Linked DNA regions of Xenopus tropicalis. Each later gene encodes a partner of the first gene's protein in a complex. Links are inferred from orthologs where the notes say so. Each region holds a gene or a part of one and is shown on either strand. Other genes may lie near its edges.

Region 1 (5,551 bases):
AGTCCCTCACAGCCCAACAGTGACTGTCTATGGTATTTTACAGCTGCCCCTTCGGCATTTGCCAGAACCCCCAGATTACCAGTCCGTGCCTGTCCCAGGTAGGCAATTGTATTGCAAGACAAGTGGAGTAGCATGTGTTTCCAGGCAAGCCAATGACCCACACAAAATAATCTTGGGTGAAGTACATTTTCTGCTTAAATATATGTGTACAGAGTAAGCATGCAGAATAATTATGAGGGGTTTTTAAATATAACAAGATGGTTGTTGGTATCTCAAAAACAAAATTAATTGGCTGGACTGATCTCAGAGCTCAGCTTATTATAACCAGATTTAAAATGTACCTTGCTGACTTCATTAACCTCTTCCTCATCCTCTTCAGCTTCTTCACCAAAAGAAAGCAAATTAAAATTCCTACAAGGAAAAAAAGGCAGAAGCAAACTAGTTATAAATAGAATTATTTAACTTCTCTTGAACACAAACTATGAGGGCACTGGCTGTTTCTGCATGCTCTCATTTACAGTGCCATTATAGCTATGAGGCAAGATGAGAACTTTGCCTGAGGTGGCATTTCCCAGGGCTGGCAATAAGCAGCAGTATTTTAATTTTTCATGTATGCAGAAAATTGTTTCTTTTAGTTATTTAGACATGCAGAAAACTGCAATTGTGCTCTCTGCGCTAGCTATGTGGTATGGATAACAGGTCCCATCTCCGTATAACATTTTCCTACCAGGGGCACATTTTCAAAGGTTGAGGTGAGAGATTCATGTTTAATAAGGCTAACATGAGATAAATGACCATTCACTTATAAATGATTTGTCTATTAATGTTGCGTGATTTGACTTTTTATAATACAACGAATTTGAATTGCTCGGAAATTTCATCTTTCTAGCTCAGATCTATCAAGTAAATGGATATTTTAAACGTAATCAAACAAAACCCATTTGATATTGTGTTCAGTACTTTCTCCCTCGTATAATTTTTGCTTCCAATTTTATCTTGTATCACTTGTGAAACCAAACTGTGTAACTTCTAATAATGTTTACTTCAGGCTGACTTTCTCGTTTAGGCTAGTGCCACATGGGCAGATTCTTGGCCTGCGAATAAGCACATGGTGAGAATCTGCCCCTTTGCTTCAAAAATATGCCTGCTCCAAAAGCATTGTTTCATTCCGGGTGCAGGCAGGTGCAGCGTATTTCAGCCTGAAACTGCATTCTCGAGCGGCACCCACTGAAATAGGATGCGCGTATGTGTGCGCCCAGGCCGATGCAGTGCTTTCAAGTGCAGGCACAACTTGAAGAATTTTAAAGTGGCAGAGCGAAGAGAATATGCTCCGTGTGGCACTAGCCTTACGCTGATACTACATGGATCTGATTCTCGACCTGCAAAAAAATGCAGGCCGAGAGTCAATCCCTCCGCTGGCATCAGCCTCCTATCTTGCCCACAGCAGAAAGCATTGTGTTCACCCAGGTGCAGGCACACACAGCACATATCGGCAAAAACGAAAAAAAGAGAAAAATCACATTTTGAACCAATATCCCATACATGTACCTGCACCCAGGCGGACACAACGCTTCTGGGTGCTGGCAAGGTAGGAGACTGGTGCCAGTGGTGGGGCTGATAAAAGATAAAAGTTGTGATCCAGAATCACTGATAAGGAAAAAAACAATGACATCTCCACGGCACACAAAAGGATAAACAGATGATATACTGACTTTGTTCCTTTTGCTTTGGTCTTCTTTGCCTCCTCTTCTTCTTCCTTTTCTTTTTTTGACTTTTTAATTATTCTTGGAACTATGTCATCAAAAGGATTAAACAGCACCTAAGAGTAAAAAAAGTAACATTCATTGGAACTGAGAAATAGGATATAAAATCCATCTATATGAGAAAAGTCACCTTCCAGTGTAATGAGTCGCAAATGTTTTTCAATTTAAGAAAGAGGCTAAGTTTGAAAAATATCATTCATGACACATCTGCTCCCCAGAACTAATGGCTCATACATCAATTTTTATAGGAATGGAAATGATTAGTGTCAAGAATACACTGACAGCATCGCATTGCTAAAGAGTAGGAAACACTAAGAGGGACAAATAACACTAAGAAGCACAAATAAACTTACTTCCACTAAAAATCACAAATGTCTAGTCATTTATTAAAAGATCCGGATTAAAAAAAAAAAAACACAAACAATTAAAATGGGGGATGAAACACGAAAACCACCATTTTTCGTGCTATTTATGTTTTCATGCAAATCTTTGTCAAACCCCCCCCCCCCCCCAAAAAAAATCTAAAGCCACGAATTATGACTTGTTACAGTTTGCCTAGAACAACTACCATTGACTTCCACATGACCTCAACAGGTTTTAGATTATGTATTTTAAAATTTGTATCGTTTGAGGTTTTGATGCCATAACAAATTGCAAAATATTTGCTTTTTTTACACGAAAAAGAAGAAATATGAATGTTAGTAAATGGCCCCTTAAATATATGCAGCATACAAGGAGATGATTATTACATATCACTAAATTACTAGATAGTTGGATGAATGGTGACTTGTTATCAAGATTAGGCAGCAATTGCTGTGACCTTTAATTACTAGATAATAAATATCATGACCCTTTCATAGAGAAATAAGTTCTCCCACCAGAGGGGCGATCTAATAGAGCCCACACTCTGGCTGGGGGTAACAATACTATTAACCTGGTTAATGAGTCCTCGAATACTACATCTAACACATGCACAGAGTGATCGAGCTAGGGGGCCTGTGCTCATTGCATGCATGAATGTGCCCCAGCATGGCTGCTTGCACCATAAAACTCCCTCCCAACGTGGTTGTAATAGGGCTTACAAGGAGCATTTCCTTGCAAAATTAGAGTACAGGCGTGGGATCAGTCATCCCGAAACCCGTTATTCAGAAAGTTCCGAATTACAGGAAGGCCATCTCCCATAGACTCCATAAGATAATTATTCAAATTTTTTAAAATGATTAATTTTTTCTCTGTAATAATAAAACATTACCTTGTACTTGATCCCAACTAAAATATAATTAATCCTTATTGGAGGCAAAACAATCCTATTGGGTTTATTTAATGTTTAAATATTTTTTTTCAGTAGATTCAAGGTATGGAGACCCAAATTAATGAAAGACCCCTTATCTGGAAAACCCCCAGGTCTCCAGCATTCTAGATAACAGGCCCCATACCTGTACTGTATTTCTGTGATGCCCATTAAATACCTTTACTCTATGAAGGCAGAAATTCAAGATTTGGACAAAAGCAGTCTGCAGGCAGCAGAAGGACACCAGAAGGAGCAGAACATATATTCATATTTTCTACACAACAGGATGGCACAAGAAGGCAAATACTGATGAAAATAAAGCAGGTACATCAATATGAAAAAGAAAAACACACACTTAAAGGGAACCTGTCACCCTAAGAAATAATTCCAAATCATTTTCTCTCATGTTAATTGATGAGCAAAATAAACTTTACTGAACTTTCATGTTGCTTACATGCTTCCCTGAAAAAGTCATTTTTCCATTGCAAACGTAAAAAAAAAAATATTAAACGCACCTCTGTGGTTTTTATCTTGTGTGGGTTGACAGGTCTCTCATCCTCTCCAATATCAACCTCTGCTAGTCTCAGTATATTATATATGGTGTCGCCAGTCACCTGTAAAGACGCAATTTAGTTTTATATTCAGAAAGCTTCAGCTGGGATTCGGTTGGCATGTGTTGCTCTGAGATAAGTCAGGAGAGCGAATACTAAGGTGAAAACAAAATGATAAAAGCAGGACTGTGAAGTCATACCAAGGACGCACAATCCATAATATCACCAATAGTGTTCCTAAAGCAATGTTTCAGCTCATCTATAATTGAACCTAATAAAGGAACAGCTACTGGGCAACTGAACTGATGTACAGAGTTAAACGATGATTTATTGGAAAAAAAAAATTAAAATAGGAAAGAAATCAAGGGTAACAATGAATCTGAGCCATAAAAAGACAGAAAGAAATAGTACAGGACTTTCTTCCATCATGTGGAAATTTTCTGAATAATCCGAACTGGAACTAAGAAGCTCAATGATTAGTTAATTGCATTATAGAAGCATTCTTGAAAAAAAGGGAGAGGGAGACAGAAGAGGCTTTCATCTGGCATCTGGATATAATTGCTCGTTTTAAGAGAATTCTTCCTCAATGGGCATCATCTAACCTTTCCAAGGATGGTATGCTTGTTATTAAGCTCATCGGCACGGCCAAGAGTAAAGAAAAATTGGCTTCCATTATCATGAGGTCCAGCGTTTGCCATAGCAACCAATCCTCGGCGATTAAATCGGAGACGTGAATGGAATTCATCCTGGAAAGTAAAAATGAAATCAATAAGGACAAAAAACAAAAAATTAAGAATGCTTCATAAAGACAGAAAAAACTTTACAAACACAAAGCAAAAAACAATTAAATAGATAAGTGATATACAGGAAATGTAAAATGAGGGAACATACCATCGAGGTTTAAGCGTATACATTAGGGATGCACCGAATGCAGGATTCGGTTTGGGATTCGGCCTTTTTTGGCAGGATTTTGCCGAATCCATGCTCCTGGCTGAACCGAATCCGAATCTTTAAAATCATGTGACTTTTTGTCATGTAAACATGGAAGTTGAAAATTTTTCACCACATGCTGCATTTAACCCTTCCGAATGTAATTAGCATATGCTAATTAGGATTTGGCCGAATCCGAAAAAGTGGATTCAGTACATCCCTAGTATAAATGTGTATTTAATAATAATAATAATAATAATAATAATAAATGACCACACAACTTAAAATAAGTCACATCTGTACATATCTTTTTGTACTACTGAAACACTGAAGTTGCCCTTGAAATAGTTAAGGTGACCCCAATGTCAATGTTAATTTAGGAAAATGTAATTTCTATTTATCCTTTTTTTTTTTTTAACTCTTTTATTTTCAAGTTTTTATAAATTTTAGATGATATCTTATGAGTACAAAAAACAGTGTCCCATATTGGCCAATTACTTTAATATATAAACTTTCTCATTCTTCAGAGAAATTGTCTAAGGAGAAGGAATTCAAGGAAGCCAAAACACCATTCCCAGAAACCCTTCATTTTTAAATATATATAACTCTTCCTTATCTGTAAGCCTGAGACACAGTGGCACACGTCGGGGCAAAGGTGGAGCTCCTTTATACTGAGCTCCCTATTTCTGTTTAAATATACTCTTTACAGCGAAGCATTGTAGGTGTAAAAGAAAGCAGCAATCCATTTATTATTGATTAATACATATTTTCGCTCATGTAAAACAAAGGAGCATATAGACCAGGGGTGGGCAAACTAAGGCCCGCGGGCCACATCCGGCCCCTTTGCCTTTTTAATCCGGCCCGCCGCCGACGCCAAGTCTCATCACGCGAGACTTGGTGTCATTGGCGTGCCGGAATTAAACAGAGAAGGGGGCCCGCCCTGGCCCGGTCGGGCCCGGGGGTGAGTAAATGTGGCCCGAGAGCCAAAAAGTGTGCCCACCCCTGATATAGACTCA
Region 2 (6,089 bases), on another chromosome or scaffold:
AGGTTTGGTATAGAAAGTTTGGTATAGAAAGGCATCTTTAGCTATTCTAAATTCATCCGAATGTGTCCCGAGTACGCTGTACCCTTCTCAGTACTTTGCACCATACTTTGGGTATTTGCACTCAAATACCTGCACTTCTTTCCATGTATACATCACATCCAGTGTCCAGCAAAGCTGTATTCCTGAGAGCAGGGATGAAGGAGGCATGTAGGCTTCCCCTCCACCTAACTTTCTCATAATTTAGATGGGCAAATGAGGCGCACTGATGGCCTAGTATTCCCTAATCTTAACACCTACCCTATGGCCCTCAAGCACACACTACACAGTGAAAGTACATTATCTGGGATAGCAGTATGAATACAGTGCCTACTTTGTGTTTTATGACCCAGAACCCATAGCTTTATTATCAGGCAATTGTTGTTGGGGGAGAACGGGACAGCTTTTCCTATTCCCCCCGGTGCGGGGCCCTATTAGGCCCAATTGGCCTAAGGCTGGTCCTGTATATATACAAATTTTTGATTGTTATAAGTATGATTGGAAAAATTTCTGATGGGTGTAAATTGTGTGAAAATTTGTATTGTGTTCGTACGAAAATATTGTGGTTGCGAACCAAAAGTTATTCAATTTTCGTATCCAAACGATCGTAAATGGCGCGTAAACCTTTCTGACTTTGAAACTTCAGTGCATGATTCGGAAAACTTCCATAGGACTCAATGGCACTCTGCAGCTCCAACTTGGCCAAAAGAAAGTCACGATACCCAAGCTTGAATGAATTCCGAAATGTTTGTAATCATTGCGAAAAATATGACTTTTGCATAAAAATTTATGCAAAACCCGAATAAGTCGCGTAATTGTACCGATATTTTCGTGGTCATTACAAAAAGTTCTAAACTTTACAACAATACAAATTTTTTTGCAATCGTGGTCATCGTGCTTCGATAAATGTGCCCCTATGGGGCTGATTCATCAAAGCATGAGTTCAAATCTCGAAATGGGTATAATTCAGATTAGATACAATAATTTCTCATGATCGGAAATGTCACGAAAATGCTTACGAAAAAATCGTATTAGTCACGATAATATTGTATCGGCGATCCGAAAGTGACTAAATTTTCATATCCGAATGATTGTAAATGGCTTTGATCCTTCTGTGCATGATTTTGGAAGCCTCTCATAGGACTCAATGGCACTCTGCAGCTCCAACCTGGCCCAAGGAAAGCCTCCCATAGGGCTCAATGGCACTCTGCAGCTCCAACCTGGCCTAAGGAAAGCCTCCCATAGGGCTCAATGGCACTCTGCAGCTCCAACCTGGCCCAAGGAAAGTCTCCCATAGGGCTCAATGGCACTCTGCAGCTCCAACCTGGCCCAAGGAAAGTCTCCCATAGGGCTCAATGGCACTCTGCAGCTCCAACCCGGCCCAAGGAAAGTCTCCCATAGGGCTCAATGGCACTCTGCAGCTCCAACCCGGCCCAAGGAAAGTCTCCCATAGGGCTCAATGGCACTCTGCAGCTCCAACCCGGCCCAAGGAAAGTCTCCCATAGGGCTTAATGGCACTCTGCAGCTCCAACCTGGCCCAAGGAAAGTCATGATACCGAAGCTTGAATGAATCCGAAACTTTCGTACTCGTTACGACAAATACGATTTTGTGGCACAAATTGTTGCAAAGTACGAAAAAGTCGCAAAAAATACGCGCAGTACAAAAACTATTCGGAAGCAATCGTACTTTGATAAATGTACCCGTGTGTGTTTCACATCATGTTACAGAAGCCCTAAAAAAAAAGTGTGTATGATGTGGAAAGTGTCCGTTCCTTGGTGACAGGCTGCCGTCAGTAATCAGACTACTATTTAGCAGGGCCCTCACCCCAGGGAATTTCCTGCACCAAGTAAAATAGAAACTCAACAAAGAATGGACATGAAAATACTGCAGTTACCACTTATTTTTTAACAATGGGTATTGGAAAGAGCTTTCTCTTATTAAACAAAAAATATTTAGCGGTTTAAAGTCCCTTTAATTTTAAATACACTGGTACCTAGGAAGAAGGGCCTATTTGTGTAAATGATTAAATGTAAAGGACTGCAATATAGCTACACCGCTTATTACAGCCAACGCTGCTATTTTAGCTTCTCCTTGCGACTCTTAGTCCCGTTTGTCCTGTCTCGGCTCCCGTACATATCACTGTGCGCTGGCTAGAATAGAGAATGCTGGGAAACCGGAAGTGTATTATGTCGTGCAGTGTGAGCGGTATTGTAAATAGAACACTGTGCGTTTAATCCAATAAGCGGGATTGTTCTTTATGTAATTTGATTTGGGTGGCGGTGACCAACAAGCGGTTGTTTATTCTAAGTCTTTACATTTTCCGATCTCCCCGAGAAGCTTTGGAGGGGGCAGCTTGGTATCATGAAGAGTAGCGTGGCCCAAGTCAAAGTAAGTTTTCTGCTTACATTTACCTTATGGTTACAGAGTGGCTTTATCCTGGACTTTCAGCTTGAGATCCTATAGCGAATGGAAAATTACAACTTGCAGTAACCTCTAACGCTGAGGATCAAGGGAGCTATAGTTCAGCAACTTATGTGGGGCACTCAGCCCAATGCCTTGAGGGTCATAACATTTGAGTTCGGGATATTTAGTCCAAACTATGCCGGAACTAAATTCCCAGAGGATCATTATCTTCCTTATGACAGGGAACTGGTTGACGTCTCTACAGTTAATAAAGGTGGAAAAATTGTATAAAAAAAAAGACAGAGGGGGGGGGGGTCAAAGCTCCATGTTTTTTTTCTGCCCACAGTGCCCCATGCCATTAATGTATTATTTACTTATATAGCACAGGCATTCCTCTGCGCTTGACATATAATGCAGTATTCACATTAGTCACTGCCCCAGAGAAGCTTACAATCTAAGGTCCCTATCAATTCATGCCTAATAATTTTATCGAGACCCCGTTAACCTGCTGTATGTTCTTGGAGTGTGGGAGGGAACCAAACTACCCATGCATAAACGGGGAAACATTTTATTTATTACCCAAGTAAGTCCCTTTACAGAGCACTTACTCCCCAGGGTTTCTTCTCTCTGCATAAATCTAGCGCTTGCAGAGCGGGTCCTGATGCAGGCAGTGCCTCCTGACACACCATACATTATGCCTCTGATTGACATTAAAGGAGAATGCAAGTCAAAATTTAAAAAGCATACTGCCCAGTAGTCCTATTGTTTAGTAAAAACGCCACACTTTTGGCTCACCTAATCAAATATTTACTTGGTTACACTTACTCATATTTTCTAGAACAGGCAGCCATCCCTATTTCCCCTTCCTTTCCCTCCTTGCATCATACTGCACATGTGTTTCATTCCCTCCCCCCCCCCGGCAGATCCACTTCTGATTGGCTGGTGGGCATGTGTAGCTCAGAACAGGAGACAGGATCAAGTTACACACATGCTCAGAGAATAGGAAGGCTGCCGCTGGCACCTACAGGAAGGGGAGAGAGATTTTAGTGATGTCACTATAGTCTTCACACTGCTGTAGGCTGCCGAATCCCAAAATACTGGCATCCCTAGTAAAGGCTAAATGACTCTGAAACCACAGAAAATCAACAATGTGTATCACTTTCATTGTATACTTCATCTTGGGAGTTAATTTAAGGGCCTTTAAGTCAGAGCAGGATGTTCTATGTGACTTGCCAGCTTTTGTTGAGTTACACCTGCCAGCAGCAGCAGCAGATTCTGGTTTCAAAAACTGCTGGGCCTTGTGTTAGAGATTATTTATTATGAGTTTGTTTACACAGGGAAGTTTGTCATACAACAGCAGCCTGCAGCTTTTACAAGAGGCACCAGGCAAGCACAGTATTCAAATGTAATACTAAGCAACGTTCCAATATACATTCATTAAAATGTGTCAGTGATGTTACTGTTTTTATGTAAATGTATTTGCTATTAAAATCAGTAACTGTTTGGCTGGTGCATCCTATTCACTCCTGGCTCTGACTCCCAAAACAATGTTGCAAGCCACCTGATTTACAGAACTGAAGGAGACCTGACAAATTGTTATAAGAGTCAGAAAACAGAAAGAGGTAAAAAACTTGCTTCTTGCTTCCTTTCCAAATAACGTTTTAATGATAAAACCCATGAAAATGATACATTTATGCTTCAATGTTGCCTGTTATTGCATTTTCTTAGTGCAAAAAATGATACTTTTTGGCTGGAGATAACTCTGGTCAGGTTATCTGCCATTTTCTGGAATAAAAATGGCAAATACATCGGTCACAAACAGATATATGTATTTAGAATCTTGACGTAATATAAAATATACAGGTATTGAAGAGCAGGGCCACTATTGGAGAGTGTAGGGATTCTGTAGATGAAGACCCGAGATAGAAAGAAGCAATCTATAGCTCACAAAAAGAGTAGAAGTTTATAACTAGTTGGCAGGCTTTGGGACAGACTAGTGGCTTGGCTGTGCATGTGAAGGGATTCTCTTCTACTCCCTGAGCAATAGACAGAAGGGCAGACACAAGTTATATGCACAGAGATACCCCTTGAATTTGGTGGTTGCAGCAGAACAACATCTGATGTACAGGTATGGGACCCTTTTATCCAGAATGCTCAGGATCTGGGGTTTTCTTGATAAAGGATATTTCTGTAATTTGGATCTCCATACCCTTAAAGGGGAAGTAAGCCTTTTATCTTAAAAGCCCCTAAAATGACTTTGTCTGTTGCAGACTCTGTATCACAAACAGCTCAACCTCAGCTCTCTCAGATACTTCCTAATCTTAGGTTGAGCTTCTTGTGATACAGAATCTGCATCGGACTGAGTGCAGAAAGAAAGGGATGTTATACTGGGGCTGTATAGAGTCTTATTTAGAGAGAGAGGGGGAAAAAAAAGGTTTACTTATTTTTTGTATGCTAATAATCATTTAAATGTTAAATAAACGCAATAGGATTGTTTTGCCTCCAATAAGGGGTAATTATATCTTAGGTGGAATCAAGTACAAAGTACTGTTTTATTATTACAGAGAAAAAGGGAATCATTTTTAAAAATTTAAATTATTTCATTAAAACCGGCCATTCCCCTAATTCAATGCTATCCGGATAATGGGTTTTTAAATTATGAATCCTATACCTGTATTGTTTTCCACATTTCATGACAAGTTTAAGTACAATGTATCAACAATGTACAATGTATCATTTCTGGCCTTCCTGCATTGGGACTGTTCATAGCTCTTGTTTATAAGGGACTAGTTTGTTGTGCTTGTATTTCGAATGTAATATTCTTTCTGAATTTTTCAGGGTGCTAATTATGACAAAGTAGATACTCGTAGCTCTTCTGAAAGAAGTTCCTCATCAGAGGACAGGTAAGAATGCAAAGTGCTTGTAACTACTTTTGCTACTCAATTTACAACTGAAATTGAACGTATGGTGTTGGTGAACTCAAATATTGTTTCTAAAATAAGCAGTAGGAACCTTTTTTAAATTATGAAGCAACTTGGGCCTCTAGTGTATTTGGATTTCATCATACATTAAATATCTTTTAAATTAAAAGTGCAAATTCTAAGCAAAAACATCCGTTTTACATATATGAACTAGAGCTGGGCGGTATGACCAAAAATTTATATCACGGTATTTTTCAAAATTATATCGGTGTCACGGTATTTGACGGTATTTTTTTTTCCATGCATGATTAGGCGTTAACCCCATTTCCTAATAAATTAGAGAATAATTACTGCAGTATTTAAAATCAGAGTCAGGCAAGCGAAGGATCGGCAACAGAAAGTCGTAAGGTAAATCAGGCAGGCTTAGTTTCCCAGGCAAGGCCGCAGACAACATGGCACAGGAGGAGGCGCTTGATAGCTTTAAATACCCCCCACGCATGCGCAGAACCGGCGCCGTCAGCGCGTCACGGACGTGCACGCTTTGACATGTACGTGCGCACGCACGCAAGGAGGCGCTCGAGACCAGGCCGCACGGGTGAGTACCCTGACACCCCGGTATTGCGGTATCTGAAAAATAAATATAGTTTTTAAAAAAAAACACCGGTATTCGGTATTAAACGGTATATCGCCCAGCCCTAATATGAACCAATGCAGACATGTATGGGATA
Region 3 (6,267 bases), on another chromosome or scaffold:
GGGGGAGTCCCAAGCCGGACTTGGATTTCTTACTATTGAGTGCTATTCTGATACCTACTGGGAGCTGCTATCTTGCTCCCTTCCCATTGTTCTGCTGATCGGCTGCTGGGGGTGAGGGAAGGGGGGGATATCACTCCAACTTGCAGCGCAGCAGTAAAGTGTGCCTGAGTCTGAGCTTTCAGAAGGAGCCAGCGCTACACATTAGAACTGCTTTCAGCTAACCTATTGTTTCTCCTACTCCCATGTAACTGGAGGAGTCCCAAGCCGGACTTGGATTTCTTACTATTGAGTGCTATTCTGATACCTACTGGGAGCTGCTATGTTGCCCCAACAGGGGTTAGCAATCCCAGCAAGGTAACTCCTACCTCTTCAGTCGCAGGTAGTGCTCCATAGTCCTCTCCCTCTCTGGGTCTGGAATTTCCTTCTTGACTTTCTCCTCGCCCTTCTTCTTGTGCTGACTGCCGTGCTTTTCTGCCGGGACCTCCTGCTTGGGAATCTCTGGATAGGGGAACGAAGAGAGGCTGAGAATGAATGAGTGCAATTCACAGTAATGCTGGGAGTTGTAGTTTGGCTACATTAGGAGCACAGGTTTGCCCTATATACAGATCAGATTTACTTGTGTATACAGTAGCAGCCTGGCTAAGATTGGTATTGGCTCCCTATAAATAAAGTGTCCAGTTGTCATCTTAATCTCCCAGAATCCTCTCTGGCGAATGGCTCACCTGTAGGGCTGCTGCAGTGTCCACTAGGGGGAGAATGTAGGGAGGCATCAGATGCACTGGGCCCAGACTGGGGATGGTTTAAGCCTGTGGGTAGGCTGGAATGGCAATCATAGACTTTCCTGCTATTGGCTACTGATCTGCAAATGAGAAACAGCAGAGAAATATAATTGTCGATAATATGGTTTGGCCATAAGAACAGAGAAATCCGGGGGCCATTAGCAATGGGTCATTATTATATCAATCATTCACATAATGCTCAGCCCCAACTGATTTACTTGTGAGAGCAGCAGCTGTTGTACGGGGCAGATTTCAGCAGAGCATGCTGGGTAATCTTCCTTGTCTGGACCAGCAAAGGGGCGGGACCTGGTGGACGCTGGCAGATATGAGAGCAAATAAAAAAAAGTTACTCAAAACTATGGCAGCATAGGGATTCCCCTGTACTAAGCACAATTCAGCAGGAACAGCCCCCTAAGTTTGCTCATAGCCTGTACAGAGAGATACCATAAAACTATGGCACATAGGGATTCCCCTGTACTAAGCACAATTCAGCAGGAACAGCCCCCTAAGTTTGCTCATAGCCTGTACAGAGAGATACCATAAAACTATGGCACATAGGGATTCTCCTGTACTAAGCACAATTCAGCAGGAACAGCCCCCTAAGTTTGCTCATAGCCTGTACAGAGAGATACCATAAAACTATGGCAGCATAGGGATTCCCCTGTACTAAGCACAATTCAGCAGGAACAGCCCCCTAAGTTTGCTCATAGCCTGTACAGAGAGATACCATAAAACTATGGCACATAGGGATTCCCCTGTACTAAGCACAATTCAGCAGGAACAGCCCATTAAGTTTGCTCATAGCCTGTACAGAGAGATACCATAAAACTATGGCACATAGGGATTCCCCTGTACTAAGCACAATTCAGCAGGAACAGCCCCCTAAGTTTGCTCATAGCCTGTACAGAGAGATACCATAAAACTATGGCACATAGGGATTCCCCTGTACTAAGCACAATTCAGCAGGAACAGCCCCCTAAGTTTGCTCATAGCCTGTACAGAGAGATACCATAAAACTATGGCACATAGGGATTCCCCTGTACTAAGCGCAATTCAGCAGGAACAACCCCCTAAGTTTGCTCATAGCCTGTACAGAGAGATACCATAAAACTATGGCACATAGGGATTCCCCTGTACTAAGCACAATTCAGCAGGAACAGCCCCCTAATAGCCAATAGCCTGGAGAAAGAGAAATCTGCCCACCTGTTCTCCTGCATCTTCTGCCTGTACAAAATCAAAATGGCGCCTCTTCTGGATCTCATTGTTATGCTCCAGCTTCTTGCCGTAATACCGCTGCTGACCTGTAGGAGAGTTGAGAGGGAGTCAGCGGCCCATTGCACAAATATGTATTATAGACATGTGACCAGTCATTAAAGGGGATGTTCACCTTTGAGTTAACTTTTAGTATGATATAGAGAATATTCTAAGACAATCTGCAATTGGTCTTCATTTTTTATTATTTGCAGTTTTCCGCAGCTATGTGGTTGCTAGGGTTCAAACTACCTTAGCAACCAGGCAGCAGAATGAATGAGAAACTGGTATATGAACAGAAGAGGGCCTGTATAGAAAGATAATGGGGGAGGAGACAGAATAAAACCTGGTATTGGGGCAGAGACCAGTAGCTACAGGCTCCACATTAAAATGGCATACAGGAAATGAAGTCATAACAGGAAGTTAAGTCACAAAGTCAGACAGGAAGTTATAAATACAAAAATAAATAATTAATAAATCAACAGGGGAACATCCCTAGGCAAGTCTTCGGATCCGCAAATGCCAGACAGGACGTTATGTCAGAAATCTGGAGAGGAAATGAAGTCATAAGACAGGAAATGGATCTCTTTTCTAGTCAGTAACTTACCGGCTAAGTGCTTCTTCCCGCTTCTGTGCACAGACAACATATCGATGGTACTGAAGACGGGCCGGTGATGGCACACGGTGCAAGCGTAGCTGTTATATACACAACACAGTTACACAGAGGGATAGGCAGGGGCCCCGGAATATAAGGGTATATAGAAGCAAGCCCTCCCAGGGGCCCACACCGAGGGAACCAATCAGTGGAGAGACCCTTACCTGCCATTTTTAAGAAGCAAAGCCTCATCCTCCGGGATGTAACTGGCCAGCAGATCCGCCACTCGCCTCTTCTGTAGGGAGACAGGAAATGGGATATTAAATTAACCCTTCCCCCTTACAACTGCACCCTACTCTGCCACAGGCACCCTACCCACACCCCAAACCAAAACCACAGACACCTTACCCTTCCCCACCCACAGGCACCCTACTCTTCCTTACCCCCACCCACAGGCACCCTACTCTTCCTTACCCCCACCCACAGGCACCCTACTCTTCCTTACCCCCACCCACACGCACCCTACCCTTCCCTACCCCCACGCGCCCTACCCTTCCCTACCCCCACCCCCAGGCACCCTACCCTTCCCTACCCCCACCCCCAGGCACCCTACCCTTCCCTACCCCCACCCCCAGGCACCCTACTCTTCCTTACCCCCACCCACAGGCACCCTACTCTTCCTTACCCCCACCCACAGGCACCCTACTCTTCCTTACCCCCACGCGCCCTACCCTTCCCTACCCCCACGCGCCCTACCCTTCCCTACCCCCACGCGCCCTACCCTTCCCTACCCCCACCCCCAGGCACCCTACCCTTCCTTACCCCCACCCCCAGGCACCCTACTCTTCCTTACCCCCACCCACAGGCACCCTACCCTTCCCTACCCCCACGCGCCCTACCCTTCCCTACCCCCACCCCCAGGCACCCTACTCTTCCTTACCCCCACCCCCAGGCACCCTACTCTTCCTTACCCCCACCCACAGGCACCCTACCCCACCCACCCACAGACACCCTACCCTTCCCCCCACCCCCAGGCACCCTACCTTTCCCTACCCCACCCTTCCCCCCACCTCTAGACACCATACCCTACCCTTCCCCCCCCAGACACCCTCCCCTCCCCTGTATGGGTATCACCCCGTACCTTTAGAACGTTCAGCTGGCTCAGATCATCCCCATCCCGTTTAAACGACATAGCCCAGCCTGTAGCGCCCCCTTTGAGAGCTGTAACCCTGCGCGGCCACCGTACTCCTTTCTGCGGCCTTACGGGAAATGTAGTTTATTTCCGGAGAGGAGGAGGCGGAGTCCGGGCATTATGGGACTTGTAGTTCCGTGAGAGCCGCGAATCCTGGGGCAGAGCCTGTGCTGCACTACTGCTCCCGGCATGCCTTGCTCCTGTCACCCCTGCCCAGCAGTGAGCTGTGTATTATTGGGTACTTGCCTGTGCTGGGCAGCTGGAAGGGCTGTGGGTCTGTGCTGGGGGTATTGGGGCAGCTTTTAGCCCAGCCCAACCCCCTTGGGCAAACCCCTGTCAGTGCTGTCATGTGATACTAATGAATTCTCCCTTTTTCTTTCAGTCTGATTGAATTAGTAGCCCAGCATGTGACTGAGGGCTGCAGGGACTCCATCTCTGCCTCCACTTCTGCCTCCACCTCTGCCCAGTCAGACAATGTATAGTTAACTTGCCCTTTAGAGCTCACAAGCCATGGCATCCAACTCTGGGCACAGAGACTCTGGGCTTCTCCATGGAACCAGGACCCGTTCCTATGGCAGCCTAGTCCAGTCGCCCTATTCACCGGCCCGGATCCGCAAACTGGAGCACCAGGTCCAGCCCGGGGACACACTGCAGGGCTTGGCACTCAGATACGGCGTCACGGTGAGTACGGTACCTTCCTATTATAGGGTGTAGGGTGCTGGGAGTTGCAGTTTAGCAACAGCTGGAGACCCCTTGTGTATAACTGGTAATATCTAACAGCTGTTAGTCTCATATGCCCTTTGTACAGTTCTCTACTCCCCCCCCCAGGGGACATGCCTTACCTGCCCCACCCTAGAACCAACCCCCCAGGATGTTATCAGGAAGGCATTGGGTTCAGATACAGCCGGTGGGCCTGATAAACATGAAGGGAAATGAAAATATGGTGAATTTGGTGCACGACACTGTCAGGGCACATTCAGTCCTTATACAAAGTCTCCATTCTCTGGGTATCCGGGATCAGGCTGCATCCTGGTTCTCTTCCTATCTCTCTAACCGCTCCTTCTCTGTCGCTCTTACTAACCAATCCCCTACCCCGGTTCTGCTTAGTGTGGGGGCTCAGCTCAGTGTGGGGGTTCAGCTCAGTGTGGGGCCCTTTGCTTGGCCCTTTGCTGTTCTCCCTGTACACTCTCTCTTTAGGAGACCTTATTTCTTCTTTTGGTCTTAAATATCACTTCTCCTCCTTTCACCATGACTATTGATGGCATGACCGTTAACCCTGTTAATTCTGCACGCTGCCTTGGGGTTATCTGCCATTTTTCCTCTGCAATATTGCCAAGATACGCCCCTTTCTTTCACAAGTAACAGCTAAAACACTAATCCATGCCCTTATCCTTTCTCGCTTAGATTACTGCAATCTCCTACTAACCAGCCTCCCAGACTCCCACCTCTCTTCCCTACAATCTGTCTTCAAAGAGGGAAGCTCTGCCGGGTACATGGGTAGAGTCATTAGCAGTGGGCAAGGCTGGCAGGGTACTGGGTACATGGGCAGAGGGATTAGCAGTGGGTAAGGCTGGCAGGGTACTGGGTACATGGGCAGAGGGATTAGCAGTGGGTAAGGCTGGCAGGGTACTGGGTACATGGGCAGAGGGATTAGTAGTGGGTAAGGTTGGCAGGGTACATGGGCAGAGGGATTAGCAGTGGGTAAGGCTGGCAGGGTACTGGGTACATGGGCAGAGGGATTAGCAGTGGGTAAGGCTGGCAGGGTACATGGGTAGAGGGATTAGCAGTGGGTAAGGCTGGCAGGGTACTGGGTACATGGGCAGAGGGATTAGCAGTGGGTAAGGCTGGCAGGGTACATGGGCAGAGGGATTAGCAGTGGGTAAGGCTGGCAGGGTACTGGGTACATGGGCAGGGGGATTAGCAGTGGGTAAGGCTGGCAGGGTACTGGGTACATCCCCAGCTAAGCTAAGGGCAGCCTTGCTGAGTGACCCCTCCTGGGGAAGTTGCAGGGAAACTAGACGCACCCTGCGCAGCCGACAGTCGGCCGGGATGTGGCCAGAGATTGAGAAATCCCTCTTTCCGAGCCACCACTTCCCCTTTACACAACTGCACTGCAGGAAATTCCCACGAAATGCCCATAGAAGAAATGGCAAATGGTCCAATTGTCACTCTTTGTCAATGTATTCGGGGGGGTCAATTGGACCAATCACAAAATAAATGCCATTTGTCTCCAGATGGAGCAGATCAAGCGAGCCAACAGGCTCTACACAAACGACTCCATATTCCTCAAGAAGTCCCTTTGCATCCCGGTGCTGGCCGACCAATTGCATCTCTCCGACGACCAGAATTCTCAGGACGGTTCAGGGGCCGAAGGGTCTCCCATACAGCAGCAGCCGGAGAGGGGCGAGAAGCAGAAGAGCCGACACCATGCTGCCCAGAAGGACGAGATG

The links. The genes of interacting proteins can lie anywhere in the genome.
Region 2: the proteins of cwc27 (region 1) and cwc22 are in contact, whole or in part, in a crystal structure (PDB 6YVH), measured with the Homo sapiens proteins. The link is inferred for Xenopus tropicalis from reciprocal best matches to the Homo sapiens genes CWC27 and CWC22. Residues at the interface, in NP_005860.2 of Homo sapiens: Arg381, Glu382, Asp383, Gln384, Thr385, Leu386, Leu388, Leu389, Phe392, Lys393, Lys395, Leu396, Thr397, Ile400, Glu412, Asp415, Asp416, Glu417, Gly418, Trp419, Met420, Ser421, His422, Val423, Leu424, Gln425, Phe426; in NP_001362958.1 of Homo sapiens: Leu239, Arg242, Lys243, Tyr245, Arg246, Asn248, Asp249, Lys250, His270, Glu271, Val272, Leu275, Glu276, Thr279, Leu280, Leu281, Glu283, Arg284, Thr286, Asp288, Ser289, Val292, Val307, Ser308, Pro309, Arg310, Gly311, Thr367, Met369, Leu372.
Region 3: cwc27 (region 1) and scnm1 share a complex: the UniProt entries of both Homo sapiens proteins name them as parts of the minor spliceosome. The link is inferred for Xenopus tropicalis from reciprocal best matches to the Homo sapiens genes CWC27 and SCNM1.

Annotation. Positions count from the first base shown.
Region 1 is NC_030677.2:188,217,770-188,223,320, forward strand, and holds part of cwc27 (spliceosome-associated protein CWC27 homolog), read right to left. Parts: intron 4,352-5,551; coding exon 4,208-4,351; intron 3,669-4,207; coding exon 3,570-3,668; intron 1,820-3,569; coding exon 1,713-1,819; intron 412-1,712; coding exon 342-411; intron 1-341. UniProt on the Homo sapiens protein: As part of the spliceosome, plays a role in pre-mRNA splicing. Probable inactive PPIase with no peptidyl-prolyl cis-trans isomerase activity. As a component of the minor spliceosome, involved in the splicing of U12-type introns in pre-mRNAs.
Region 2 is NC_030685.2:63,083,047-63,089,135, forward strand, and holds the start of cwc22 (pre-mRNA-splicing factor CWC22 homolog), read left to right. Parts: upstream 1-2,177; 5' UTR 2,178-2,398; coding exon 2,399-2,425; intron 2,426-5,278; coding exon 5,279-5,343; intron 5,344-6,089. UniProt on the Homo sapiens protein: Required for pre-mRNA splicing as component of the spliceosome. As a component of the minor spliceosome, involved in the splicing of U12-type introns in pre-mRNAs. Promotes exon-junction complex (EJC) assembly.
Region 3 is NC_030684.2:137,908,086-137,914,352, reverse strand, and holds the start of scnm1 (sodium channel modifier 1), read right to left. Parts: upstream 3,913-6,267; 5' UTR 3,818-3,912; coding exon 3,767-3,817; intron 2,921-3,766; coding exon 2,850-2,920; intron 2,727-2,849; coding exon 2,638-2,726; intron 2,081-2,637; coding exon 1,983-2,080; intron 1,096-1,982; coding exon 998-1,095; intron 860-997; coding exon 723-859; intron 499-722; coding exon 366-498; intron 1-365. Other genes in the region: lysmd1 (lysM and putative peptidoglycan-binding domain-containing protein 1), read left to right, coding at 4,328-4,498, 6,052-6,267. UniProt on the Homo sapiens protein: As a component of the minor spliceosome, involved in the splicing of U12-type introns in pre-mRNAs. Plays a role in the regulation of primary cilia length and Hedgehog signaling.